2 linked regions of the Elephas maximus indicus genome follow. Each later gene encodes a partner of the first gene's protein in a complex. Links are inferred from orthologs where the notes say so. Each region holds a gene or a part of one and is shown in the gene's direction. Other genes may lie near its edges. The genes, in order: GRB14 and INSR.

What was found.
Region 2: the proteins of GRB14 (region 1) and INSR are in contact, whole or in part, in a crystal structure (PDB 2AUH), measured with the Homo sapiens proteins. The link is inferred for Elephas maximus indicus from reciprocal best matches to the Homo sapiens genes GRB14 and INSR. Residues at the interface, in NP_004481.2 of Homo sapiens: Glu373, Asn374, Ser375, Leu376, Val377, Ala378, Met379, Asp380, Phe381, Ser382, Ser386, Val388, Ile389, Glu394, Val398, Ala399, Glu401, Glu402, Gly403, Leu404, Trp406, Arg407; in NP_000199.2 of Homo sapiens: Leu1065, Arg1066, Ile1069, Glu1070, Lys1112, Arg1116, Arg1163, Met1180, Arg1182, Tyr1190, Lys1192, Gly1193, Gly1194, Lys1195, Gly1196, Leu1197, Leu1198, Pro1199, Val1200, Trp1202, Ser1207, Leu1208, Lys1209, Asp1210, Gly1211, Gln1235, Asn1242, Glu1243, Leu1246.

The regions. Positions count from the first base shown.
Region 1 is NC_064824.1:62,581,300-62,595,948, reverse strand, and holds the start of GRB14 (growth factor receptor-bound protein 14), read left to right. Parts: upstream 1-6,695; 5' UTR 6,696-6,875; coding exon 6,876-7,066; exon of another isoform or gene 7,067-7,184; intron 7,185-8,476; coding exon 8,477-8,609; intron 8,610-14,649. UniProt on the Homo sapiens protein: Adapter protein which modulates coupling of cell surface receptor kinases with specific signaling pathways. Binds to, and suppresses signals from, the activated insulin receptor (INSR). Potent inhibitor of insulin-stimulated MAPK3 phosphorylation.
Region 2 is NC_064821.1:11,901,886-11,917,063, reverse strand, and holds the start of INSR (insulin receptor), read left to right. Parts: upstream 1-7,532; 5' UTR 7,533-7,543; coding exon 7,544-7,643; intron 7,644-15,178. UniProt on the Homo sapiens protein: Receptor tyrosine kinase which mediates the pleiotropic actions of insulin.

The DNA.
Region 1 (14,649 bases):
ATAAAAATATTTACAGGTAAAATATTAAAATTAATATATGAAAGCAATTACGTAGACAAAAAGGTATCCGAAACAATGTTAAATTATCAAATATCTAAGAACATGTCTTAGATTAACACAGTGGCTGCAACAATGGGCTCATATGTAGCAACGATTGTAAGGATGGCATCGGACTGGGCAGGGGAGTGTTTTGTTCTGTTGTACATAGGGTCGATCTGAGTCGGAACTGACTCAATGGCGCCTATCAACAAAAACAAGAAGAATATGTCTAAGAAAAGATGTGCAAAATGTCTGCGGAAAACCATAAAACATCATTGTGACAAATTAAGATACAAACAAGTGGAAGGACGTAGCAGCTGTACGGATAGGGAGTGTTATTATTTCAAAATACTACTTTTCCCCAAATGGATTAATAGATTCAATACCACTCAATCAAAACCCTAGCAGGTCTTTGTAGAACTTGAAATGCTAATTCTAAACTCAATAAAACAATCTTGAAGAAGAAGGACAAAATAAAAAGGCTTGTTCTACTGAGTATTATGAATTGTCATAAATCATAGTAATTAGGGCAATGTGATATTGGCATAAGCATCAGTAAATAAATTAATGGTCTAGAAGAGAGGGCCCAGGACAGACCCATGGATAGATGAACAATTGAATTATGACAAAGGAGGCACTGCAAAGTTGTGAGGAAAGAGTGATTCTTTCCATGAACGCTGCTAGCACAATTATCTGCTTATATGAAAAATAACTAAAACAATCTGTTTCACACAATAAGAAAATAAATAAATCCTAGGTAGATCATAGATTTAAATGTGAAAGGCAAGCCATAAATTTCTTGAACATATGAGGAAAGACTTCTAAGCAGGATTGTCTTAGTCATCCGGTGCTGCTATAATAGAAATACAAGTGAAAGGCTTTAACAAAGGTAAGTTTATTTCCTCATAGCAAAGTAGGCTAAAAGTCTAAATTCAGGGCAGGGGAAGGCTTTCTCTCTGTCGGCGTTCCCAAGAATGTTCCCCTGGACCAGGAGCTTCACTGCGCAAGCACCCTGGGTCCAAAGGACGCCCTCTGCTCCTGTCACTGCTTTCTTAGTGGGATGAGGTCCCCCTGTCTCTCTGCTGGCTTCTCTCTTTTATATCTGAAGAGATTGCCTCAAAACATGATTCAGTCTTATAGATTGAGTCCTGTCTCACTTACACACCTGCCACCCATCCTCCATCATTAACATCGTAGAGGCAGGATTTACAACGCAGGAAAATCACACAATACTGGGAACCATGGCACAGCCAAACTGATAACACATTTTTGGGGGGACAGAATTCAATCCATGACAAGAATGTTAAAAAAAAAAAAAAATCATAAAAAGCTAAATTTGACTACCTTACAATTAAGAACATCTGTTTATCAAAAGATACCATTAAGAATTTGAAAAAAGCAAGCCACAAATTGGGAGAAGATATGCATAAAATTTACCAGTTGGAATCGACTTGATGGCAACAGGTTTTTTTTTTTTATAACCAGCAAAGAATTAGTAACCAGAATATAAAAAGAACTCCTAAAAAGAAAAACAATCCACCATAAAAAGGGACAGGAGACTTGAGTTGGTACTTATGGAAATTGTTCAATCTCATTAGCATTAGGGAAGATCATATTTTACAATGAGACATGCCATACATTCATCAGAAAATCTAATGCGAAAATTTGAGTAATATACTGATTTCCAATAATGTGAAGAAGTGCAGACATTTATGCATTGCCGGTGGCAGTGGAAACTGGCAGTATCTACTAGTGTTGAGAGCCAGTGAAAAAGAGGAAGATCCTCAATGAGATGGATTGACAAGGTGGCTGCAACAACGGGCTCAAACATAACAATTATGAGTTTGGTGCAGGACTTGTCAGTGTTTTGTTCTGTTGCACGTAGGGTAGCTATGAGTCGGAACTGACTCGATGGCACCTGACAACAGCAATACTAAAGTTGAACATACACATACCATGACATCACAATGCCTCTCTAGTACATTCCTTACAGAAATGCATGCATATGTGCACCAAGAGATGCATACAAGAATGTTCCTTGCAGCATTGTTTATAATAGTAAGAAGTTGAAAACAGTCCAGATGACTATATACAGTAGAATGGGTAGATTGTGGTATTTGCATATAATAGAAGAATGAAAGCTACTTAGAAAAGCTTGGGAGAATATCACAAGTACAATGTAAAGGGAACAAAGTTGAGCACAAAAGGGTGCATCGTGTCTGATTCCATTTATATAAAGGTAAAATCCAGACAAAGGAATCTATTGTGTTTAGGGATAGGTACTTAGATGGCTAAACTATCAATAAAAATAAGGACTATGAAACTCTGGATTGGCGTAGGGGTATGAGAGGTGCTTTATTTCATCACCTGACATCAGTGCGTTTGCCATATATCTTTGTTTTTTGAACATTTTTCTGTGTGCGTTATCTTTCCCAATATTAAGGGTTAAGAAGTTTAATTCGATAAGCAGAGGGAGGGATGAAGGAGGGCACATTTTCCATAAGGGGTGGGAAATGCTGAGATCTCTGAATGAGGAGATAGGAAAGGGAGCTGCTAATGGGTCCAAGGTGGGGCAGGGGCCAGGAAACAGCTTCCTTCTCGATTTTAGAGGCTCAAGTCAAAAGGAAATGACAGCCATTCAGAGGAGGACCCACACTTTGGCACCAAGATATCTGCCTTCTTATAGTTTCAGAAATCCTTGCCAGTTGTGGGGAAAGAAATCTTTTTAAACTTCTCCTTTGAAAGAAAAATGCCTCTGTTTTCTCTTAGGCTGTAGTAGGTCTGACAGTGTTTGGCACCTTTTATTACTGTACAGTTCTTTATTTAGAATCAATTCTTGTAAACCTCTTGGATACGAATGCTAGTTCTTTTGTTTCAAAATTGTGAATGAGCTAATTCTAATAATTCTTGGTACAGATCCTCAAGGTATTCCTGGGAGTAAATTTATTACTTAACACCAGTCTACAAGATACAACTATTTAGGTCTGCATTACTTAGAGACCCATTCTTTTTCCTTTTTTCCTCCCTGGTGACTGCAGGGTTTATAATTTTTACCCATGGGGTTAGAGGAGGAGTATAAAGCATGCACATGGATACCCCTTGGACTTTCTCTAATGGGGAGAAAAGAATTTGAATGCCTGAAGAGAAGAGACACAATTGAGATATGATTCCAACCAATGAATATTCTTTCTTGAGGTTAAAAAATTACCCTGGGAAGTGGAGCAGGATACATCTTGTGGGATGGTAAATTTCCAGTGATTCTAAAGATACATGCAGTTTCCTTCTATCCTTTCTCCAATAAAAGAGAGAGCCTACTCTGTGTGTGTGTGTGTGTGTGTGTGTGTGAAACAGAGAGAGGAAGAGAGGGAGAGCGGGGGAGAGAGAGAGAGAGAGACAGACAGAAAATGTGTTGTCAGGGATGGAAACGGAACCAGTTTTAGCTATTGATTCACCCTGATATTAGAATGCTCGAACGATATTATTCTTAGAGAAAACTGGCTGTTTGCAGAAGCTTTTCGGATGAAAATAGGAATTATGATAATGATTAGAGTTTCTTTCTTTTTTTGTTTCTTTAGTTCCAGTTATTTGTAAATACATTAAAAAAAAAAACAAAAAAACCGAGTTGCCTTCGACTGATTCTGACTCATGGTAACCTCATGTGTATCAGAGTAGAACTGTGCTCCATAGGGTTGTCAATGGCTGATTTTCAGAAGTAGATCACCTGGCGTTTCTTCCACGGTGTTTCTGGGTGGATTTGAGCCTCCAACTTGTGGTTACCAACAGAGTTTGCACCACCCAGAGACCTCATTTTTATTTTGCTGGAATGACCTCAATATATCCGTGTAGTTTTACATGGAAAAGCTCAATACCATCAGTTAGAACAAGGCCAGGGGCCTACTGTGGATTGGATCATCAATTACTCATATGCAAGTTCAAGTTGAAACTGAAGAAAATTAGAACAAATCCACAAGAGCCAAAGTACAACCTACAGTATATCCCACCTGAATTTAGAGACCATCTTAAGAACAGATTTGACCTGCTGAACACTAATGACCAAAGACCAGACAAGCTGTGGAATGACATCAAAGACATCATCCATGAAGAAAATAAGAGGTCATTAAAAAGACAGGAGAGAAAGAAAAGACCTAAATACATGTCAGAAAAGACTCTGAAACTTGCTCTTGAATGTTGAGTAGCTAAAGCAAAAGGAAAAAAAATGATGAAGTAAAAGAGCTGAACAGAAGATTTCAAAGGGTGGCTCGAGAAAACAAAGTATTATGATGACATGTGCAAAGACCTGGAGATAGAAAACCAAAACGGAAGAACACGCTCTGCATTTCTTAAGCTGAAAGAACTAAAGAAAAAATTCAAGCCTTGAGTTGCAATACTGAAGGATTCTATGGGGAAAATACTAAACGACCCAGGAAGCATCAAAAGAAGCTGGAAGGAATACACAGAGGCACTATACCAAAGAATTGGTCAACGTTCAACATTTCAGGAGGTAACACGATTAGGAACTGATGATACTGAAGGAAGAAGTCCAAGCTGCACTGAAAAAAAAAAAAAAAGCACTGAAGGCACCGGCAAAAAACAAGGCTTTGGAAATTGACAGAACACCAATTGAGATGTTTCAACAAACAGATGCAGCACTTCACTCATCTATGCCAAGAAATTTGGAAGACAGCTACCTGGCCAACCGACTAGAAGAGATCCATATTTACACCTATTTCCAAGAAAGGCAGTCCAATTGAATTTGGAAATTATCAAACAATATCATTAATATCACACACAAAAAAATCACAAGCAACCAATATTTTGCTGAAGATCATTCAAAAAAGGCTGCTGCAGTATATCAACGGGGAACTGCCAGAAATTCAGGCTGGATTCAGAAGAGGACGCCTTTGAATTATGGCGTTGATGAAGAATACTGAATATAACATGGACTGCCAAAAGAATGAACAAATCTGTCTTGGAAGAAGTACAATCAGAATGCTCCTTAGAAGCAAGGATGGTGAGACTATGTCTCACATACTTTGGACATGTTATCAGAACGGATCAGTCCCTGGAGAAGGACATCATGCTCTGTAAAAGTAGAGGGTCAGAGAAAAAGGGGAAGACTCTCAACGAGATGGACTGACACAGTGGCTTCAACAATTGGCTTAAGCGCAGCAACTTTTGTGAGCATGTTGCAGGACCAGGGAATGTTTCGTTCTGTTGTGCATAGGATTGGTACTCAGAATCGACTGGACGGCACCTAACAACAGCTTTTACACTATTTAAAATTCACACATAGAATCCTGGCCATAAATCAGGGAATTGGAGATGAGTGACATCTTCGCCTGGCACACAGTGTCAGTAAGTGTTAGCTAACAGCATTATCCACCACCTTGGCAGCTCGAGTCCACCAGTTGCTCCTTGGAAACCCTATGGGGCACTTCTACTCTGTCCTATAGGGTTATTGAGTTGTAATCCACTGGATGGCAATGGGCTGGTGTGGGTTTAGGCATTAGCAGTGTTTGGTGCCATGGTGGGAGGATGCAATAATATGGTGGGGGTGGGGAGTTGCAGGTTTCTTCAGGAGGCAGTTGTTTGCCTTTCCCTTGGCAGAGATTGTGGAGGTTAAGAAAACCTGGTGAAGCAGATGCCAGGGACATATGTTACCTAATTTGGTCAAAGAACAAAGAGCGTGATTAACATTTGGAAATTCTCAACTGCCCACTGGGATGGGGGCACTGACTGGAAGAGCAGAAACAGAGTATCATTTTGAATTTCAGAGCAGGTAGTATTACTGCCTCTTAACGGAACAGCATAGTGGAATCTTGGCTGTACCAGTTACTAGTGCTGTGTGGTGTAAGGTACTCCATGGCTTTGAGCCCGTTTCCTGATCTGTAAAATAATCTAATTTATAAGGTAAAAAAGGTAAACGTCTAATTTATAGGGCTATTGTGAGGGTGGAATAGAACAGAGTAGGAAGATGAAAATTAAAGTAAAAACTAATAATTTTCCTAATTCCAAAGACACTCCCAGGTTTTACTCATGCTTTACCAAGAATTCTCAAAACCTCAGTACAGTGTTCTAAAATGATTGTACTCTCTGCTCCCTCCCCGCCCCCATTTTGGCTACGGAGTGGATGGAAAGAAGAAGCACGTGTGGGGAGGACGGGGGCAAATTTAGCCCCCAGGACCCCTGGCCTCCTGGTACAGTGGGGCCTGTCATGGCGGCCCAGCGAAATCTTAGGTGATTTCAGATAGCAGAGCTGGAAGAATGGAAGGGTCTGGGGGTCGGCGTGGCCCAGACCCCTGCCCTGCCTGCGGTCTGCAAAGCAAGCTCAAAGGGAGCACAGGCTCAGCTTAGCTTGATCCCCGGCTCCAGCTGCACGGGGCTCGTCCTGACTTTGGGCTCAGCCGGGTGCTCCGGCGCCCACCTGGGGAGGCGGCGACCCGGCCTCCGGGGTCGGCAGCTGGAGGCCCCGGCGCGGGCCCCTCGGGACCGACGCCAGTGCAGCCACGCGCCCCGGGCCACGCGCGGGGCCGGCCGGGCGCTCGCGCACTCTCCTCCTCACCCCCTCCGCGCCTCGCCCGGCCGCCGGCGGCCCCCACCCACCGGCCGCTCCTCCCCTCTCCCCACCCTCCTCCTCCGCCCCCTCCCCTCCCCCGCCGCCTCGCAGACTGCTCGGCCGCGCGTCTGAGCCGCCCGGGCCCGGAGCGCCCGCGGCGAGGCCACCGCACCTGCCGAGCGCTCTGGCTGCCTGAGCTGCACCTCACTGCCCGCCGCTCGACTCCCTTCTCCCCCCGCGCCGGGTCTCCCATGAGGTCCGAGCCCCTCAGCCGGCGACAATGACTACTTCCCTGCAAGATGGGCAGAGCGCCGCGGGCAGGGCGGCTGCTCAGGATTCGCCGCTGGCGGTCCAGGTGTGCGGCGCTGGCCAGGGGAGGGGCGACGCCCGCGACCTGGCGCCAGCCCCGTGGTTGCATGCGCGGGCTCTCCTGCCCCCTCCGGATGGGACCCGCGGCTGTGCTGCAGACAGGTAGGCAGCCCTCCGAGGGCGCGGGGGAGTGTCCTGGGTTGGCAGCCGGCAAAGGGGTAGGAGGCGGTCCTAGGGGGTGAGCCATGTGCACAGTGCTGGGCCAAGTTTGTGAAAGTGTCTGAAGACAATTCCCTTTGAGCTGGCTCCTGCCGGATCAGCAGGACATTGCGATCTCACAGCGCCTTATAAATAGCATCACCGTTTCATTGAGAGCTCTTGGTCTCTCTTGCTTCTGCCTATCGGTGTGAATTAGGAGGCCAAGCTCCGGGTTGACTACCCCCTTTCCTTCTTCGTAGCCCTGAATTTTTTTTTTTAATTCTTTTTATTTTGTATTTTTTAAATAAAAATCGTAGCATGAATGAGTTCACCTCCCACATAGAGTCTTACAGCGACCTAGGGGAAGCAAAACGCTGGATTGACATTTGAGCAGCCTTGCTGTTCAGCAGCAAAGAATAGAGGCTTTAAAAGGTTTTCCCAATCTCCACAGCACTAAGTGCCTTTAGAGATCACAGTTTTGCACATACTTTAGGAAAGAAAAAAGACTTCAACAATTCAAAAATCTGCAGTCCTTTATATTCATAATTTAAATGGAACTTTTTTACCCCATATTTTCAAAGTGCTCCAACTTCACTAAAGTTAAAATTACTCTCCAGTGGACATTTATACTAGCAAGTTCTATTAGCTTACCTCCTCAAAAACACTACCTTGCTGTTTAGTACCTACAACCAAACCAAACCCAGTGCTGTTAAGTCGATTCCAACTCATAGCGACCCTATAGGACAGAGTAGAACTAACTGCCCCATAGAGTTTCCAAGGAGCGCCTGGTGGATTCGAGCTGCCGACCCTTTGGTTAGCAGCCTTAGCACTTAACCACTACGCCACCAGGGTTTCCTTAATACCTATAAGCACTTGAAAAATCAACAGACTGTGTGTGGGCAACATTGTGAATGAAATTTGAAGTGAGATGAACCATAGCTATAAATAAATCATAACTTCCAAAAGTGATTAATAAAATATCAGAGGAAAGAATTCACTAAATAAAACTTAAAGACTGTTGTCATGGCTGCATAGCAGTATTCCTCAGAATGATTTGTTTGCATTTATAATTGCACAGTTAATGTGTTTACAATTTAGGAAAATTATTGAATGTACTGGAAATGGAGCTTCCATATCTGGTGATTTTTTTTTTTAAAGGCAAAAAAAAAAAAGATAGCAATACTATAGAAGATTTTTTGTATCAATTAGCATATTTTAATTCGACCCAAAGAAAGTACTTTGCAGACCTTTTCTGTATAGTTTATATAACATTAGCGCTATACGTGTTGGCCTTAACACACTTTTTAATCCTGACAGTGATTATATTTTACATTCTGTTTTATGTAAATTACATCCTATGTTCTCTTGGTGTAGGAGAAAAAAGAAAGAACTTGATGTTCTGGAAATGCCATCTATTCCAAACCCTTTTCCTGAGCTGTGCTGTTCTCCATTTACATCTGTTTTGTCAGCAGGCCTGTTTCCCAAAGTAAATTCAAGGAAAAAACAGGTACGCATTTTGAAATTTTCTCATTCAAAAATCTTAGGAGTGTTAAAATCATACAGTCTTTAACAGTATTCACAAAGGATTAGTATGGCTTATGTTAAATCACTGTGTTGACTAGGACAGTTCTTTGGTGTTATTTTCCTCGATTTTCACATCCGTGTAATAAAACTCGCTGTTGAGTCGATTCCGACTCATAGTACAGAGTAGAGGACAGAGTAGAACCACTCCATGGGCTTTCCAAGGAGTGGCTGGTGGATTCCAACTGTTGACCTTTTGGTTAGCGGCCATAGCTCTTAACCACTGAGCCACCACGGCAGTGTTAAAATTTAACTTTTAGGATTCGGGGATGGGTTAAAAGAGAGAATATATATAAAATGGAATGCCTGGGAATTATTATTATTCACAGGGTAGGTGGGAGCATTATACATGATAAGAGACCACCAATTTTTAATTCAGCAATTGAAGAGGGGGTGGTGTTAGCGGGTGAGAAGGGGATTGGCTGATTCCTTTAATACCTTCACGTTAGGGTATCCACAGAAACAAAAACCGATAGATACACATAGAGAGAATAAAAGGAGAAAGAGAGAGAAAAAGATTGAAATTTATTTTAAGGAATTGGCTCATATGGTTGTGGGGGCTGGCAAATTCAAAATCCATAGGCCAGGCAACAGGCTGGATATTCTAGAAGTCTCTTGTCTGTAATTGGAGACCAGATGGTGGGCTAGAAACTCTGTCAGGATATCTATGTTAACAGTCTTGAGGCAGAATTTCTTCTCTAGGAAACCTCGGTTTTTGCTCTTAAGGCCTTCGACTGATTGGATGAGGCCCATGCACATTATCATGGGTAATCTCCTTTACTTAGAGTCAACTGCTCATAAATATTAATTATCTCAATAAAATACCTGCCTGGCAGCATCTAGATTAGTGTTTGACCAAACAGCTGGACACCATAGCCTAGCCATGTTGACACATAAAATCAACGATCCTAATCTTCGTTAATCTTTGACATTCTCAACCTAAGCCAACCTCACTTACTAAAGGAAAGTGATATAGTGAATCTGTAGCAATAAGTAATTGGAGTTTAGGACTGGGCATGTCTCCTTTATTTCAGTGAATTCCTCAGTTTGGAGATTTCTGACTACAAGAAAGCAAATGACTTGTAAATGATAGAAGATGGGCTTTATTTTTATGATTTCAGGTTTCTAGTTTGGACACTGACTTAACCAATTTAGATTTCTAAGGAAAAAAGGATCAAACAACTATGAGGAGCTGCATCATAATTATATATTTTGAGGAAAAAAAAAAAAGTGTATCCTAGAACGATCCATGTCTCAGTACGTGTTTTCTCAGCTTTGAGCTAGCAAAACAAAGAGGGACTTCACTAGGCGTATGCACCTTGTTGTTATCGAAGCAATGAATTTAAACAGCCAGATGCCTGTAGTGAGAAGGGGGTGATGAACACAGTGGAAAGACAGTGGATCATCTCCCTCTCCTTTACATCTATTGTTCTGTTTCTTTTTTCCGCAGCCTTACTACCTTCCTTGTGTGAGTTCATAGATGTGTGTTTATATTTTTAGAAATGAAGGAAATGCCCTAGGGAAAAATGAGTTCTTGATAATAAGCAATAATAGAGGCAGTAGGGAAGCATCACGTGGAATGTTGTGTTTTGAGGGAAATCTAATGTAGCAAGGTGTATAGACTATTTTGGGGGGATGTTGGTTGAAGTCTAATTGATGCATATGTTTTTGGATAAGGGTTGGAGAAAGGAGGAGTAAATATCCCAAGAACAGAGGTATGTTCTGCATCAGAGTCTGCAGTGGTGGAGGCAAGCCCTTAAATGGGTGGGACTATGATTTTGGATAGAGGTGTGGACAATGGGGAGATTTGCTCGAGAGCTTTGTTATCAGGGTGAGGTTAAGAGTTAGATCCCAAGGACCAATCAGCCGGGGTAAAACATCCAAGCTCTTTGAGAGTTTGACTCTGAGTTAGGGTATGAGATGGGAATAGAATGATAGATTTGACTGTGTGCAGTGGTGTTGGAGAAAATCAGTTCTCGATTGTCCATGTGACCCAGAATAGGCAAAGGAAATGTCAGATAAGGACACAATAGTTATTTGGGGAATTTAATAGATTATTCCATGTTTATGAAGGGCGTGCTATGTTCCTTGCACCATCCTAGGTGCTGAGGCATTGAGCTAACCAAAGATGCCATCTGAGGGGTTTTTACCCAAAGCAGGGCTTTGATTTGGAGTTGGGTTGGGGGAAAATGATGAAGGGGGAAAGAAGAGTAGGAGGAGAGAGGTCTAGGCTGACTCTCACTTTAATTTGGTGAATGGACACTGTGACAATGTCATGTCCAAGTGACTTTTCATGGGGCAGAGCTTGTTTTGAGATGAGACAGAGAATAGGTGTTGGTATGCACGTGTCAGTAGAGGAAGAAAATAGAGAAAGAGAGTGGATGAGGTGTCAGGGTAAGGCAGGGTAACTTCTAAGGGTAGAGAATCTCCTTAGAGTAACACATCTTATCTTGGGGAGTGGCAACATGTCTTCAGGTCATGTTAAGCAAATGGGTAAAATGGGAAAAGCATGATATTATTGCCTCCGAACAGGTCTCCTGCTCTGGCCTCGTGTTCTGGTTCCACAGTGACCTTCTCAAGAGAGCGGTGCTCCCACACAGCCAGCCTTACTGTTCCATGAGCGGCAAGCTCTGTCTTGCCTCCTGGGGACCAATCCTGGAGGAGTGTTTCTAACCTTAGAAGGCCTGTTCCTGCTGAATCCTTCCTTGGCCTAAGGGCTGGAGTCTCTATGAAGAGAAGGGTGTTCCAAAGTTGGAGAGGAGGAAGTTTTAAAATTCTTTTATGTTTCCTTTAACCCGCACCTTGAGATTCCATTGAGAACTGATCCTTTTGTTCTTACTCCTTTGTACATACACATTCGCTTCTTTGGGCCCAGTGAGGCTTTGATAATTGACAACTCTGTCAGTAATTTCCCCAAGCCTAGTATCTTTTTGACACAGATTATCTTCTTAAAAGATGGTATTTCTGGCCAAATTATCCTGGCCTTCAGCTGAGATGACTGTATGTAATGGGTTCTACTGAATATTACTTAAGGTTAAAACATTATAGGAGAAGATGTCTCTTTTCTTCATATTCTCGCTTTCATTTTTGTTCGTATATCCATTCCATTCGTTTTAGCAATTCTTTCTTTGCTCTAGAAAAAGTGAGGAATGGCATTTGTTATTTACAAGTAAGTTACCAGAAAGTTTGAAAGACTGCTGACTAGAAATGCTAAATTTCACCTGGCCTTTTAAAACCACAGTCAAAAATAATTTTATAGGCCATAAATATTTTTTTACAATTGGAGATGGCTACATAATGCATGAGTGGTAAAGTGCATTGAAGCCACAAATAGGATATGCTTTAGCTCTTTTGGTAAATAAAATGCCCAAGCATACAATACCGTAGGCTTTCAGTATTTTTATTTTAAAATAAGAGCTAGAGTGAGATAGAAACTAGATTCTTTTCTCTCAATTCTTCTTTTTATAATGCTGGCCAGATCTATTTTTTAGAAATAGCTCTTTGTGTTTACCAATAAAGCAGATTTAAAGTATACCTTTCTTCGTATAGATGGTTCAGAAAAGTTACTTATAATTTCAGTTTTGTATTTCAAGTGACTTACCTTGAATTTAATGAATCTTGATTCTTTTTTTTTTTTTCTAATTTCTGATTCAAATTAATCAGGAAATAATTTCTTAGCAATGAACTGTGAAAACCTGTTATTTGAAGAATGGATAAGAGTAAGAGACCTTTATCCATTGTGGCAGATTTAGTTCTTATATCAAGCTCATCTACCCGTAGGTAATTTTTGTGCTTGGCAAACGCTTGTGCAGTAAATGCTTCCCAAGACTATGTGGTATATCTAATTCAGAATAAACTCTCTGAAGGTTTTAAAGATAAAGAACTTACGAAGAACTGGGCATTGTGGAATGTTTGAGCTACAAGAGATCTCTGAGATCATGTAGTCTAATAGTCTTCTTTTACAGATGAGTAAATTGAGTTTAGGAGTCTCTGGGTAGCATGAACAGTGAAATACTCAGCTACCAACCCAAAGGCTAGTGGTTTGAACTTACCAAGAGGTGCCTTGTAAGAAAGGCTTGGTAATCTGCTTTGAGAGGCCATAGCCATGAAAGCCCTGTGGAGCAGTTCTACTCTGCAACTCATGGGGTTGCCATGAGTGGAATTAATTGCACAGCAACTGGTTTGGTTTTGATTTTGGTTAAATTTGGTCAAAGAAATGCTATGTGGCTGACGGAAAGGTACAATTTCAAAAGAAACTGAGAACCATGAGAGTAGTACAGGTAGTAAACTTACGTTAGTGTTGTTAGTTACAACTCTGCCTGTAATACAGGAAGAGCAGGGTGACATTTGTTAATGTTCATCTCAGGACCTGGAGTTTCTTATTCTTTTTCCTTCCTCAGATATAACTGTCACTTCGTGTTTTTTCTTCTAGTTTTCTTCTCCTAAAATTGATATGGAAATATGTTAAATAATTGGTTATAACATTCAGTAGGATTTATTTGTATTATTAATGACTAGTTTTTATATATAGTTTACGGCCCATAGGATGTTGTTATCTCACACCACCACCAGGAAGTGGGTCTGCCATCCCCATTTTAAGTTTTGAAAAAGGAAATGCAAAACTGGACGTGATTTTCCAGTGGTTCCACAGTTTAAATAAAGGGAGATCTAAGAGAATATCTTGTTTGAATAGGCTTTGCCCTTAACTATGCTGTTTCTAATCTATTCTCTGTTGAATTAAGCCTTTTCATATATCTCTCAGAAAAATAAAACAATCCTTCAGATAGTTAAGAAATTACTTCTTAATATGTTTAGGCTTTGATCTCTTTTTCCTCTTGCATGTCAGAGACTATTAAAGGATAAGTAGATTTCTTTCCCCAAATTAAAGGGCCTCTGATGTCATTCCTTTGTGATGTCAGTAATTATCTCAATTTGTACAGTGATGGGACCTGTATGTGTGGTCCTGTAGGAATCTTATGTGGCTGCTACATTTACTCAACTCTCATATACTCATTTCTCTCATATACACAGAAGTAGAAAGAAGTAAACCGTAGTCCCATACATCATTACATAGGCTCAGCAGTTATCAAGATTTTGGCTCATTTGCTTCATCTATTTCATTTTTCTCTATTTACTTTGCTAAAGTATTTTAAAGCAAATCTGGGATTCCTATTATTGCATTTTGCTTATTTTTCTATACATCTCTGAAATATACATTTTCTTATATAACCACAATGCCATTATTCACTTAACAAAAATAGCAGTAATTCCTTGATATCATCTAAAACCATCCATAATTGAATTTTCTTAGTTGGAATGACACATGAAACCCTCAAATTACAAACTAGTTATGTTTCAAAAGTCTGCAGATGAATTCTTTGGAAGTTGGAATTCATTTTCATGTGGAAACAACAACATATATTGTATTTACACCCCCCCCCCAAAGCTACTTCACACAATCCCATTTAATGTAAAATGAAACACAAACAGCATAAATGTGCAGAACGCATAATAGAAACAATGCTTGCTCCTATTCGGGTTTCAGACAAATATATCTTTTCAACAGCAGTTTGCTACTTTTGAATGCTGACTTGGTGAATATCAGGTTTTTTGAAGAAGAATTTGAAAGTAGATGGATCTTTGTAGCAATGTTGAAGCAGGCCTTAGAACAATGCTTCTGAAAATGTGATCACTGAGCCACCTTACTCCGAATCAACGGGGATGCTTCTAAAAATACAGATACTTGGGGCTCCCGTAAAACCCAGTGCACAGTGATCTCCTGGGGAAGGGCACAAGAATTTAACTTATTTTTTATTTCTCTTTGACATATATACAAAATCATTGCTACTCTTATTATCTGCCACTTTTAGGCTCTGGGGAATTCTGACCTTCCAAATTGTAGACAGTTTCATTTAGTTGATAAAAGAAGGACATATTACAAACGGACTTTAGTTGGTATTTTAGCC
Region 2 (15,178 bases), on another chromosome or scaffold:
TGGCCTGGCTGCTTCAGAAAGACAAAGAACACCTTAATTTCTCAGGCTATTTTCAAAAAGCCACACAGAGGTCTTTGTCCCACAGGTGATGAAAAATTTCTGGAACTAGACTGAGGCGATGGTTGCACAACACTGTGAACGTACTAAATGCCACTGAATCGCGTACTCTAAAATGGTTCAAAGGGAAAATTTCACGTGATGTGTACTTTAGCACAATAAAAATAAAAGAGCAACGGAGCCCTTGCCTTCTCTTCATACCCTTTGCTTGTTACCTGAGACAGTCCGTTTCTTTTTCCCCTTATCAGCTGGAAAACACTATATATGATACAGAGACTCCATTGTGTCGTATAAAATATTTTCCCATCACTGTATATTGCTTATATTTTAATTTTGGTAATTTCACTTTCAGTATTGCATTAGTTTCTTGTCTGTTGCCCTTGAGTCGATTCTGACTCATAGAGACCCTATAGGGCAGAGTAGAACTGCCCCACGACATTTCCAAGGAGTGGCTGGAGGATTCGAAGTACTGACCTCTTAGTTAGCAGCCAAGCTCTTTACCACTGAGTCACCAGGGCTCCATTAGTTTCCTAGAGCTGCCTTAACAAATTACCACAAACTGAGCAGCTTAAAACAAGGAAATGTATAGTCTCACAGTTCTGGGGGCTACCAGTTTGAATTCAAGGTGTCAGCAGGGCTGCACTTTCTCCAAAGGTCTTTCCTCGTTTCTTCCAGTTCCTGGTAGCCCCAGGCGTTCCTGTGCTTGTGGCAGTAGGGTTGTTTTCAGTTGCCTTCAAGTAGCTCAGACTCACGGTAATCCCTGTTGCAGGATAGAACTGCTCCGTAGGGTTTTCCCACCACCTGTCAGTTTGTCATATTGTGGTAGCTGTGTGTTGCTAGAAGCTATGCCACCGGTATTCCAAATACCATCAGGGTCACCCGTGGTGGACAGGTTTCAGCAGAGCTTCCAGACTAAGACAGACTAGGAAGAAAGGCCTGGCAATCTACTTCTAAAAAAAAATTAGCCAGTGAAAACCTTATGAATAGCAGTGGAGCATCGTCTGATATAGTGTTTAAAGTGTTAAAAAGCAAAGCTGTGACTTGCAGGACTAAGGTGCACCTGACCCAAAGCCATGGTGTTTTCAATTGCCTCATATGCACGCAAAAGCTGGGCAATGAAAAAGCAAGACTGAAGAAGAATTGATGCATTTGAATTATGGTGCTGGTGAAGAATATTGAATATACCACGGACTTCCAGAAGAATGAAGAAATCTGTCTTGGAACAAGTATAACCAGAATGCCCCTTAGAAGCAAGGATGGTGAGACTTTGTCTCATTTTGGACATGCTATCAGGACGGGCCAGTCCCTGAAGAAGCACAACATGCTTGGTGAAGTAGAGGGTTAATGAAAAAGAGGAAGACCCTCAACGAGATGGATTGACACAGTGGCTGCGACAACGGGCTCAAACAGCAACTGTTGTGAGGCTGGAGCAGCACTGGGCATTGTTGCATTCTGTTGTACGTAGGGTCGCTATGAGTCAGAACCGACTTGACTGCACTTAACAACAACAACGGCAATGCCATGGACTGCCAGAAGAACAAACAAATTTGTCTCGAAACAAGTACAACCAGGATGTTCGTTAGCAGTGAGGATGGTGAGACTTTGTCTCACTTTGAACATGCTATAAGAAGGGACCAATCCCTAGAGAAGGACATCATGGAAAAAACCCAAACCCACTGCCATCGAGTCGATTCCGACTCATAGTGACCGTATAGGACAGAGTAGAACTGCCCCATAGGGTTTCCAAGGAGCAGTTGGTGGATTCGAGCTGCCAATATTTGGTTAGTGGCCAAAGGCTTAACCACTGCGCCACCAGGGTCCCGGTAAAGTAGAGGGTCAGTGAAAAAGAGGAGGAGATGGATTGACACAGTGGCTCCAACGATGGGCTCAAACGTGGCAATGGTTGTGAAGACAGTGCAGGACCCAGCAACGTTTGGTTCTGTTGTACGTACGGTTGTGATGAGCTGGAACTGACTCAATGGCGCCTAATAGCAACGACAACAAAGGGTTTTCAAGGCTGGGACCTTTCTGAAGCAGATCACGACGTCTTTCTCCTGAGGCACCTCTGGGTGGAGTTGAACTGCCAACCTTTCTGCTAGTAGCCATCCAGGGACTTGGCTTGTGGTAGTATCCCCCTAATTTCCGCCACCTTTGTCACATGTCACTTGACGTTCTCACCCCCGTCTCCCTCAGTGCCCCTGTTTTCTCTCCTTATAAGAACACCAGTCATAAAGATTAGGGTCCGCCCTAATGACCTTGGGAACCCTGGTAGTGTAGTGGTTAAGGGCTACAGCTGCTAACCAAAAGGTCAGCAGTTCGAGTCTACCAGGCGCGCTCCTCGGGAACCCTATGGGGCAGTTCTACTCTGTCGTCTAGGGTTGCCATGAGTCGGAACTGACCTGACGGCACCTAACAACAACAGATATTTCCTTTGGAAGATTAATACCCAGTTCTGTATCCTCCTAGTTTTTTTTCTGTGCTTTCAATTTTTTAAACGCTTTTTCGGTCTTTAAAAAAATATTTTTGTTGTTGTTAAAAATATACAGAGCAGACCACACACCAATTCCAGAATGTCTACATGCACAGTTTGTGACATGGATTACATTCTTTAAGTTGCACGACCATTCTCATGCTCCTTTTCCCAATTGTTCCTCCCCGTTAATATAAGCTCACTGTTCTCCTCCATCCCTTCCCTGGCCCCTCCCCCGCCCAAGCTTCCTATCTAAACTTTCCAGTTGCTGTTGTCAATTTGGTCCCACCTACATAGTTCTTTAAAAGAGTACAACGTGTTCTGCATCCCACTTTGGTCAGTGGCATCTGGGATCTTAAAAACTAGCGAGCAGCCATCTAAGATGTATCAGTTGGTCCCAATCCACCTGGAGCAAAGCAGAATGAAGAACACCAAAGGCAAAAGGAAAATATGAGCCCAAGAGACAGAAAGGGCCACATAAACCACAGACTCCATCAGCCTGAGGCCAGAAGAACTAGATGGTACCTGGCTACCACCAATGACCACTCCTACAGGGAACACAACAGACAGTCCCTGATGGAGCAGGAGAAAAGTGGGGTGCAGAACTCAAATTCTAGTAAAAAGACCAGACTGAATGGTCTGACTGAGACTGGAGGAACCCCAAAAGACATGGACCCCGAACTCTGTGTTAGCCCAAAACTAAAACCATTCCCGAAGCCAACTCTTCAGACAAAGATTAGACTGGACTATAAGACATAAAGTGATATTCGTGAAGAGTGTGCTTCTTAATTCAAGTAGATACATAAGACTGAATGGGCAGCTCCTGTCCAGAGGCAAGATGAGAAAGCAGAAAGGGACAGGTTGAATAGACATGGGAAACCTGGGGTGGAAAGGCAGAGTGTGCTGTCACACTGTGGGGATGGCAACTAGGGTCACAAAACAACGTGTGTATAAATTTTTGTATGAGAAACTAACTTGATCTGTAAACTTTCACTTACGGCACAACTAAAAAAAAAAAGGTGCATTGCCAAAGCAGACTTTCTTTACTAATTCAGTGAAATATTGTTTGGTTTAAAGAAGACTTCAGGGGATATTTTTGGTGTAAGATTTAAGATGTAAAGATTATTGCAGGGCAATGGTTTTGGGGGTTCATGCAGTCTCTATGGCTTCAGAAAGTCTAGATTCCATAAGAATTTAAAGTTCTATTCTGCATTTCCCCCCATTTTGATCAGAATTCTTGTATAGAATCTTTGATCACAATGTTTGGTAAAGGTAGCCAGGCACCATTCAGTTCTCCTGGTTTCATGGCAAAGCAGGCAGTTGTTTATGGAGGCGATTAGCCACACATTCCATTTCCTCCCCTTATTCCTGACTCTCCTTCTTCCTTCTTCCCCTGTTGTTCCAGATGAAGAGAGAGCAATTGTTGTACCTTGGATGGCCGCTTGCAAGCTTTTAAGACCCCAGGTACTGTGCAACGAAATCAATGGGACAATCTCCCTAGGGATAAACACTTAAAAAAAAAGTTGTGATAAATATATTTGTAATAACACATTTGCCATTTCCACATTCTTCACATGTACAATTCAGTGACATTAAATATGTTTTCATGTTGTTAAACCACTGGCATGATCTGTTGTAAAATTTTTTCATCACCTCTGGTAGAAGCTGAATGTCCTCCAATATGCTTTAATTTTTAATTTAGCAAATTATATTTAAATGCATTTTTAGAATTTGTTTTTGAAATCCATTCGTTGAAGACTTTATAGATTTCCCTCTCCAATTACCATACGATTATCTTGGACCTTTCTAGTAACTCACAGTGTTGATAATGATTTTTCCCTTTCCCGCAGACTGGGAGATGCCTTTAGAAATAGTATATTAAAAATTGGAGTCTATTTCTAGGTTACCCCTTCTGATATATGAATTCAGCTGCCTATATTTGTGCTTATTTATATTCATTATAGCTTCATAAAGGAGCCCCAGTGGCTCAATGGTTAAATTCTCAGCTGCTAACAGAAAGGTTGGTGGTTTGAACCCACTCCGAGGCCCCACAGGAGAAAGACCTGGTGATCTGCTCCTGTAAAGATTATAGCTTAGAAAACCCTATGAGGCAGTTCTACTCTGTCGCATGGGGTTGCTATGAGTTGGAATCAACTCAGTGGCACCCTACAATAACAACATAGCTTTATAGGATTTTATTATCTGAAGAATGTTAGTGCCTTTCCCAGTTATTCTTCTTTTCCAGATGTTTCTTCCCTATTTTTACCTAATTATTCTTATAGACCAGTGGGTCTCAGCTGGAGGTTATTCTGCCCCGAGGGGACATTGGACAATGTTTGGAGACATTTTTATCACCACAACTGGGGTGAGGAGAGTGCTTCTGGTGTTTCATGGGTACAAGCCAGGGACGCTGCTAAACATCCTACAATGCACAGAACAGCCCCCTCCACAGAGAATAATCTGGTCCCAAATGTCTGTAATCTCAGTTGGAGTTGATTCAATGGCAAGTGTTTGATTTTTTTTTTAAAAGAAAGCATTATAGTTTTTTTTTTTTTTTTTAAATGGGTTGGAGCCATTGCTATTAAAATATTTCCTTGGTATTTTATTTTATTTCACTTTGCAGCTATGGTAATGGTCTGAAAAAATTTAGCTCTCTTAGACATGCTGATTTTTAAAAAAAGTAAGTAATATACGGTACATGGTGAAAAACAATTCAAACAGATTAAAAAAAAGTTACTGGTTTCTCGTATATTCTTTGAGAACCATTTCATGAATCCATAAATATCTTCCCCAATAATCAGCCATCGAAAACCCTATGGGGCACAGTTCTACCCTGACAGTCATGGGGTTGTCTTGAGTCTGAGTTGGCTGGATGGCAATTGGTCAGGGAGTCCTTCCTGACCACCCTCCCACCTCATCACACACACACACACACACACACACACACACAGAATTGTGTAATTAATGACCCTCTCCCCCACTAGGTTGTGAGCTCTACAAGGAAATAGAACATGTTTATTTTGCTGACTGTAATTCCCCGTTACTTATTGTTTAAGCTTCTTCCATTCAGCAAATATTTATTAACCAACAGTGTGTCAGGCAGCAGGAGTAACGAACCGGACTGACTGGGTTTCTGGTTCACAGGGAGGGGAGAAGATGTACTACAAGGTAAACAATAAAAAATAGGGATTCCAGGTAGTTTTAGGTGTGTTATTAAAATATCAGAGGAAAGGAACAAAGGACTCGGGGGTGGCATTTGCAAAGCCTGGTGAGCAAAGGTGTCATTGTAGCATAGAGGTGGAGTCAGCCACGGGAGGGCTTGCTGAAATGTTACAGACAGGGCTGATAGCCAGGTAAAGGCCCAGAGGGAGAAGAGAGTCAGGCCAGGGCCTGTCACACAAATAGTCGTTTAATAAAGGGGAGGAAGAATGAATGCCCAGGGCCTAGGATTGTGCTGGTCACTTTCCCAAGCTTTATTTCCTGTGTGCCTCCCCAGGCCTGCAGGTATTGTCAAAGAGGTGAGACCGACCTAGAAATGGTAAATCACTAGTCCAAGGCTACACAGAGAGTGAGGGTTGGGGTCCTGGATTTCTTATACAGAGGCCCCCTTGGCCCCTTCAGGAGGGTGACTGACTACTCACTGTCTAGCCCTATTCACAAATGGCATCACTGCGCATTCAGACACATATGAACTCCGTTGTTTTTGTTAGTTGGTGTGTGGAGTCAATTCCAACTCATGGTGACCCTATGTGTGCCAGAGTAGAACTGTGCTCCACAGGGCTTTCAAGGCTGTGACCGCCGGAAGTGGATCTCCAGGCCTTTCTTCCGAGGAACTTCTGGGTGGGTTTGAAGCGCCAACCATTTGGTTGGTAGTTCAGCGCTTAAGCGTTTACACCAGCCAGGACTCCTAGATGAACCCCAGGTCTGCATACTGAAAATCAGGCGTGTCCACCTACCCCCAGCCCAGGATCTCCAAGGGCCTGGTCTGTTCTGTCAGGATATTCCGAAACATTCTCCTAGACGCCATTTCTCCAACTACAACTACGAAGCGCGCGGCACACACAGGGCGCCGGGCATGTGACTGTCCCCAGAGGCCCGGCGTGGCTCCCGCCCCTAGACGGGGAGTCCAGGGCACCCCGACTCGGGGGAGGGGGAGATCGGAGTGGCTGGCGCGCTCTAGGCTGGGACTAGGGTGAGGTGAGTGAGGCGCTCCGCTCGTCTACAAAATTTAAGGACGTGCTCCAAACCCAAGTAACCAAGATAAATAATATCTAAATGCAGTATTAACAAAAAATTCCAACGAACAACAACAAAAAATGCACTATGAACAAAATACCGAAGTGCACAAGAAAGACAAAGATGTGTCTCGCTGGGGCGGCCAGGGCGGCCTCACGCTCCGGGACACGAGCCGCTGGCGCGGTCTGGGGAGCCCCGGGGGCCTCCAGAGCCCGGCCGGGCGGGGGGAGGGGGCGGGGCGGGATGGGGCGGGGCCTCCCTCCCTCCCCCCGCCCCCTCCCTCCCTCCGCCCCCCTCCACTCTGCCTGCCTCCCCGGCGCCGAGTCCCTTCCGAGGCGTGATCCGCGCCGCCTTTTCCCGCGGTCCGCGCGGGGCCCAGCTGACGGGCCGCGTTGTTTACGGGCCGAACAGCCTCGCGCCCGCCGCCCGCCAGCCGCCCGCCAGCCCAGGTGCCGCCGCCGCGCGCCCGTCAGTCCGTCCAAGTGTCCGTCTGTCGGTGCGTCCACCGCCTGCGGCCGAGGGCGCGCGGGACCGCCAGCCGGGAGCCGGGGCGCAGCGCGGGCTCCGGGCCCAGGGACCGCGAGCCGGGGCCGGGCCGCGCCGCTGTGTTGGTGGCGCCGAGGCCGCGCGCCCCTCCCGGGCCGTTGCTGGGGCCCTCCCGGGCGGAGGAGGAGGACGCGCGGCCACCGGCGCCTCCCGGGCGGGCGGCCGCTCGGAGCATGACCCTCGCGGTTGGGCGCCGCGCGCTCTGAGCTGCTGGGACCCCGCGCTCCCGCAGTCATGGGCTCCGGGGGCCAGCGGGGGGCGGCGGCCGCGCCGCTGCTGGTGGCCGTGGCCGCGCTGTTGGTGGGCGCCGCCGGCCACCTGTACCCTGGAGAAGGTGAGTCTGGGGCGCGGGGGTGGGCGGGGACATCGCGGCCGACGGCACCCCGCTGTTCAAATGAAGTCCCCGCTAGGGCGCGAGGGCCCGCCCGGGAGCGGGTGGCCCGGACGGTCGCGTCGACCTCGCGGGGGGCGGGAGGCCGCTGACCTTGGCCTTTGCCCGCTCGGGCTCGCGGCTCGGCTCCCCGCGCGCCTGCCCCGGGCCGAGGAACCTTGCCCCAGTGCCCGCCCCGCGGCGGGCGCCTCTCCTGAGTGCGCTCGGACCCACTCCTGCTCCTCCATCCCCACTCCCCCTTCCCCCGGTCCCGACGCGCTCCCGAGGCGGGGCACGCGTCCTCGCTGGGTCGCCTCTGGGAAGTCGGATCCTAAGGTTCGGGCGGCCTCCGACAGCCCAATGCCTGCCTGGCGTGCACACACGGTTGGATGCAACGCAGATAGTGCCGGACTTGGGGGGGGGGGCGGTGTTCTTTGGGGTTCCCGCTGCTGGGTGGCGCTGCCCCTGGGTGGGGAATTGTAGACCCCTCGTCGACTCCCAAGAAGCCCTGGTCGTGCAGTGGTTAAGCGCTCCCTGGTAACCAGAAAGGTTGGCGGTTTGAACCCACCAGCCTCTCCGCGGGAGAAAGATGTGGCCGTCTGCTTCGGTAGAGATTACAGCCTTGTAAACCCTATGGGGCAGTTCTACTCTGTCCTATAGGGTCGCTATGAGTTGAAATCAATTCAAGGGCACATAACAACAACTCCGATTTCCTTGGGATTAAGCTGGTGACCACCACTACGGTCCGCGTTTACACATTTGTGTCCTGCTTCCAGATATCCTGAGCCAAACTCTAGCACCGTGGCAACACCTGCAGCCGTTGTAGTAACAACTAGGGGTGGCATACATCATGGTTGTTATAAATAGTATCACTGTATGCCTGGGGTTGGTCCATCTTATTTCTCTGGACCCTCACAGTGGCCCCTGGAGGCTGATAGTGCTATTCCCCCATTTCACAGAGGCGTAACCTGAGGCTCAGATAGCTCACAGAACTCACCTGCTCCAAAGTCAGTGCCAGAGCTGGGACTTGAACCTCTGTCAGTGGGATTCCAGGTCAAGGCTCTGGTTTGCAATCCCTCGCCCTAGGTCCCCTAAACCCTTCCCACCCCTCAGCTTCACCCTTCATGAGGGTTCTTTCCCTGTTAGCCCTGGGAGTGTCTCTGGCCTTAATGAGCCTCACACTCCCCCTGGCCCCATGGGCTGCCCTAAACCCCTACCCCAGCATCCTCCTTGCTCTGCTTGTGGGCCGGGACTGATATAATTGGGATTTCCCACCATGGGGTCTAAAGCTCTGCTTTAAACATATCTGTTGGGTTACTTCTTCACCTATCTCCATAAAAGGAAATAGATCATGGGTGGGGAAGGGGTTAGAGAGGGAAGTCATAGAAGCTCCTGAGTTCCCTGATGTAAACGAGGTAGATGAGAAAGCATAAGCTTTGAAGGTAACAAACCAAGTTTGCTGAGTGGCTGTGCCACTTGGTTTCTCCGAGACCCTGAGTACCTGGTAGGCATCAGGTCTACCAGGTAGACTGCGAAGAGTCGCAGTTGGTTTGGGTTCTCATTAGGAAAACCCAAGACGAGTGATTAGACCTGTGCCCGGCTTCTTGTATGTGCACGAGTATGAGTGTGTACTTCTGCCTGGGCACGCTTGTGTGTGTGTGTGGCTCCTCGCGCTTCTGTTCCATCTAGCTTTGGTAATTAATTGTGGATCTGTGCCTGGGCTTCCAGGCCTCAGATTTACTGCTGCTTTCTGTATTTACGGAAACCCTGGTGGTGTAGTGGTTAAGTGCTACGGCTGCTAACCAAAGGGACGCCAATTCGAATCCGCCAGGCGCTCCTTGGAAACTCTATGGGGCAGTTCTACTCTGTCCCATAGGGTCGCTATGAGTCGGAATCAACTCGATGGCACTGGGTTTGGTTTTTGGGTTTTTCTGTATTTACAGCTTCCATGAGGTCAGGGGCTTTTTGTCTGTTTTGTTCACTGTTAACATTTCCAGAGCCTAGAACAGTGCCTTGCACATGGCTGTGGTTGTTAGGTGCTGTCCAATCCATTTTAACTCATAGCGACCCCGTGTGAAAGAGTAGAACTGCCCTGTAGGGTTTTCTAGGCTGTAATCTTTACCGGAGTAGAGTGCCAAATCTCTTCTCCTGTGGAGCTGCTGGGTGGCTTCAAACCATCAACCTTTCCGTTAGCAGTTGAGTGCTTAACCGTTACACCAGCAGGACTCCTTTGGCATACAGTAGGTGTTCAGTAAATGTTTCTTTTTGAATGGGGCTAGGAACAGAGCCTCCGAAGGAGCTGCTTGTTCGCCAGATAATACTTAACAGTAAGAGCGGACACTTAGCAGGCGCTGTTCTCTGTGCTGTGCGTATATAACCTGAGTTCATCCTCGGGAAGTTGTTGTTGTTGTTGTTGTTAGTTGCCTTCCATTCGATTTCGACTCATGGTGACTCCATGTGTGCAGAGTAGAACTGCTCCACAGGATTTTCAAGGCTGTGACATTTTGGAAGCAGATCGCCAGACCTGTCTTCTGTGGTACCTCTGAGTGGTTTTGAACTGTCAACCTTTTGGCTGCTAGTTGTAGGGCCTATTATTATCCCTTTTTGCAGATGAGGGGCGCCCTGGTGGTGCAGTGGTAAAGAGCTCCACTGCCAACCAAAAGGTCGGCAGTTCAAATCCACCAGCTGCTCCTTGGAAACTCTATCAGGCAGTTCTTCTCCGTCCTATAGGGTCGCTATGAGTTGGAATGGACTTGGCGGGAACGGGTTTGCTCTTGGCTTAGTTTTGCAGATAAAGACAGCTGCCCAGAGCTCCAGCAGGTGGCACAGTCGAGATTAGAACCCAGAGCGCTAATTTCTTAAGCAAAGATCATTCTTTCAGTAACTAATTCCTGCCATGTGCCTAAGCCTCCCCCAGCCCTACCCTGGGGTAATGTTTAACAGGATTCTATCAAATAGATGAGATGTGATGCCCCTTGAAGACGTGGGGAGTAGGGGGAGGACCATCTTTCCAGATCATTAATCTCTGTTGTTGTTGTATGCTGTCAAGTAGAGTCCTACTCGTAGCGACCCCATATGACAGAGTTAGAACTTCCCTGTCGGGTTTTGTTTCCCAGGCTATAATCTTTATGGGAGCAGATTGCCAGGTCATTCTCCCACGGAGCTGCTGGCAGGCTCAAACCGCTGACTTTTCAGTTAGCAGCTGAGCGCTTAACCATTGCACCACCAGGGCTCCTTTATTAATCCCTAACGTCAGCCAATACGGCATTTTGGGCGAGGTGGGGAGGAGGGAAATAAATGCCATTTTTAAGGACCGAAGAACTGTTTCTTGGAGATGTTGTATGGGGCTGTGCCACCCCCACCTGTGGTCCCGTGGAGTCTTCATTGCTGGGTGGACCTGGGCTAGGGCTGCCTTCTCTGTTTCCATTTAGATTGGGTGGTTCTGGCCCCAGGTTCCTTACCGGCATTGCAAAGTCAGAGAACTAAAGCAGTGCGGGGTTAATGAAAATCGGACCCCACAGGTTTCCTGGGTTCAAGTTAGTTGGCCAATTGAGGCATAAGATGCTTTCTTGTTTCCAGACACTCCTGATTTCTTAGGTACCCCTGATTCTCAGGTACCCCTCATTTCTCAGACACTCCTGATTTCTCGAGGGACAGCCACGAGATGTTTCTCTGGTGTGTTTGGTACAAAAGATCCCCTAGTCCCCAGGCAGAACTGCCATCTGCTCAGTCACCTCCCTGCGATGATTCCAGACCTCTGCTTCTCTCCTGGAGACTGCATCTGGCCCCTGCCCCACTCTGTTATCCCCCTGGGGTCCCCACCTGATCCCACTTCCATTCCGCTGTCAAATCAACCCCTGACCCCATGTATAACCTGGTCCTGTGCCATTGCCATGATCATTTGGAGTTTGGACCATTGTGATCCATGAGATTTTTACTGGCTGATTTTCAGAAGTAGGTTGCCAGGCCTTTCTTCCTGGTCTTAGTCTGGAAGCTCTTCTGAAACCTGTTCAGCCTCATAGTAGCAAGCAAGTCTCCCTTGACATACGGGTGGTAGCTGTACATGAGGTGCATTGGCCAGAAATCGAACCCGGGTCTGTCACATGGAGGGTGAGAATTCTGCCACTGAACCACCAACGTTGTTGTCATTAGGTGCCATTGCATCTACTCTGACTCCTAGTGACCCCATGTGTTCTACAGAGTAAAACTGCCCCATAGGATTTCCTAGGCTGTAATCTTAATGGAAGCAGATCGAAGGTCTTTCTCACGTGGGTTTGAACCCCCAACCTGTAGGTTAGCAGTTGAGTGCTTAACTGTTCATGCCATCAGGGCTTTTGGCAAAACCACCACCGTCCCCTTCCTGTTTTATGAGAGCAGGACTTCTTACCCTTGGCACCCTTGACGTTTGGGTCTGGATCATTCTCTGCAGTGGTGGTGGCGTGGCATCCTGTGTACTGTAGGGTGTCGAGCAGAATCCCTGGTCTCCACCCATTAGATGCCAGTTGAGAACCACTGCAGCAGAATTGGCCTCATCTTTGTCTAAGACGCTTCTCCGCCTGGGCCCCTGCTTGCTCCCCTCTCTCCATCCAAGGAGCTCCTTCCACCCACAAGCCTTTCTTGTTTCAGCCTTTAAACATTCAATGCTCCCCAACGCCACTCCCCACCACCTGGCCTGGGTTCCAAGCCTGGGCCCCCACCCACCTCGCTTGCTCCCCTTTCACCCACTGCTCTGCCCACAGCGTCTGGCTTGTGTCTCTACCGCCCTGCTGTGGCTCTCCACAAAGGTAATCCTTCACCTCCCAGTTACGTCTTCTGTGGCCTCACCTCACTTGACCCCTCTGGGTTTGACACTGCCCACTCCCTGCCGCTAGAAGGTGACTTGTCACCTGTTTCTCATTTCTCACCTTTGCTGCTTCTTCTACCTGTGCTTAGAAGCTGGCCCTCATGTCTCGTGGCTCCCTGGATCTTGTTGTATGAACTGCTGTCGAGTTGGTCCCTGGCTCCGTGCGTTACAGAGTAGGCCTGCTTCCTGGGGTTCTCTCGGCTGTGATCTTTAATGGAAGCAGTTTGTTAGGCCTTTCTTCTGTGGAGCCACTGGGTAGATTTGAACCACCAGCCTTTAGTTAGCAGCTGATTGCAAGCAGCTCGTGCCAGCCACACTCGCAGGACTCTATTATGACCCTCTCTAAGCCTAGATTTTTATTTACTTAGATTTTTATTTTATTTTTATTTACTGGTCTGACTCCATCTAGAATAGATGGCCCTCAGGGGCCAAATCCTGCCCACCGCCTGCTTTTGTAAATAAAGTTTTATTGGCACACAGCCATGCTCATTCATGTACAGACTTTAAAAAAAAAATGTTATTATTATGCTTTAAGTGAAAGTTTACAGCTCAAGTTAGTTTCTCATACAAAAATTTATACACACATTGTTATGTGATCCTAGTTGCTCTCTCTATAATGTGACAGCACACTCCTCCTTTCCACCCTGTATTTCCTGTGTCTGTCCAATGAGCTCCTTTCCCTTTCTGCCTTCTCATCTGCCTTCAGACAGGAGCTGCCCGTTTAGTCTCATGTATCTACTTGAACTAAGAAGCACATTCTTCATGAGTATCTTTTTATGTCTTATAGTCCAGTCTATTCTTTGTCTGAAGAGTTGGCTTCAGGAATGGTTTTTTTTCTGAGTTAACAGTAAATCCAGGGGCCATGTCTTCCAGGGTTCCTCCAGTCTCAGACAGACCATTGAGTCTGGTCTTTTTTACTAGAATTTGAGTTCTGCACCCCACTTTTCTCCTGTTCTATTGTGGACTCTCTTGTGTTCCCTATCAGGGCGGTCATTGGTGGTAGCCGGGCACCATCTAGTTCTTCTGGTCTCAGGCTGATGGAGTCTTTGGTTTATGTGGCCCTTTCTGTCTCTTGGACTCATATTTTCCTTGTGTCTTTGGTGTTCTTCATTCTTCTTTGCTCCAGGTGGGTCGGGACCAATTGATGATGCATCTCAGATGGCCACTTGCTAGCTTTTAAGACCCCAGACGCCACGTACCAAAGTGGGATGCGCAACATTTACTTAATAAGCTTTATCATGCCAGTTGACCTAGACGTCCCCTGAAACCATGGTCCCCAGATGCCCTCTCCCTCCACTCTGCCCCTTAAAGTGTTTGGTTGTATTCAGGAGACTTCTTAGCTTTTGGTTTAGTCCAGTTGTTCTGACTTCCTCTGTATCGTGTGTTGTGCAGGCTGTCCTTGATGGCTGCTTTTGCTCTACAAAGGCAGAGTTGAGTAGTTTCGACAGAGAAAGCATGGCCTGCAAATCCCAAAATATTTACTCTTTTGGCCCTTTACAGACAAAATTTGCTGATCCCAGACCTGAAATGAACTTCACGGAGGTTCATTCTTCGTGGCGTGCTTGTGTGGAGTATCTCGGTGGTGCAAAGAGTTAAAGAGCCAGGCTGCTAATAAAAGGTTGGAGGTTCGAGTCCACTGAGAGGTGCCTTGGAAGAAAGGCCTGGCAATGTACTTCTGAAAAATTAGTCATTGAAAACCCTACGGAGCACAGTTCTACTCTGACACACATGGGGTTGCTGTGAGGTGGAGTCGACTTGATGGCAACTGTCTTTTTTTTTTTTTCTCTTTTCATTATGGAGAAAATATTCACAACAAAACACACACCAACTCAGCAGTTTCTACGTGTACAATTCACTGACGTTGATTACATTCTTCAGGTTGTACAACCATTGTTGTTATCGTTTACTAAATTGTTCCACCACCATTAACACCATCATGCCTCCTAAGCAAAAACTTCCTTTCCCCCCTCCTACCCCTGGTAGCCATGGATTATCTTTGGTTTCTAGATATTTGCTTATGTTTCATGTAAGTGAGATCATATAGTATCTGCCCTTTTGTGACTGACTCCTTTCACTCAGCATGATGTTTTCAAGGTTCACCTGTGTTGTGGCATGCATCAGGACTTGGTTTCTCTTTATGGCTGAGTAGTATTCCATTGTAAAAAAAAAAGTATTCCATTGTGTGTATAACCATGTTTTGTGTATCCATCCATGCATTGATGGACATTTTGGTGGTTTTCACCTGTTGGCTATTGTGAACTGTGTTGCAGTGAACATTGGTACACAGGTTTCTGTTTTCAAGGGTCCTTCGTGGCAACTGGTTTTTAAAAGCTCATGTGGTCCCCGGTATAAGTTGAATGAGTAAAGTTAGATGAAACCTCCAAGGATGCTGGGTTTTTCTCTTTAAAGAGTAAACGATAATAAAGGAATTCACACTATTCGTGGAATTTACGGGCTCCAAGGAGGAGAAAAAAGCAGCCAGATTCCCTTGATGGCTGCGTGTGTGAGACTTGAGGATTTATTTAAACAACGATCTTGGCCTTGAATGAGAATTCCGAGCCATCAGCCCTGCTTCTAGAACCCAAGAGGAAGTGGTGTCTGGTGAGCGATCATCTCCCAAGATGCCTTGTGTTTATTCCTGTTAAGAGCACATCTG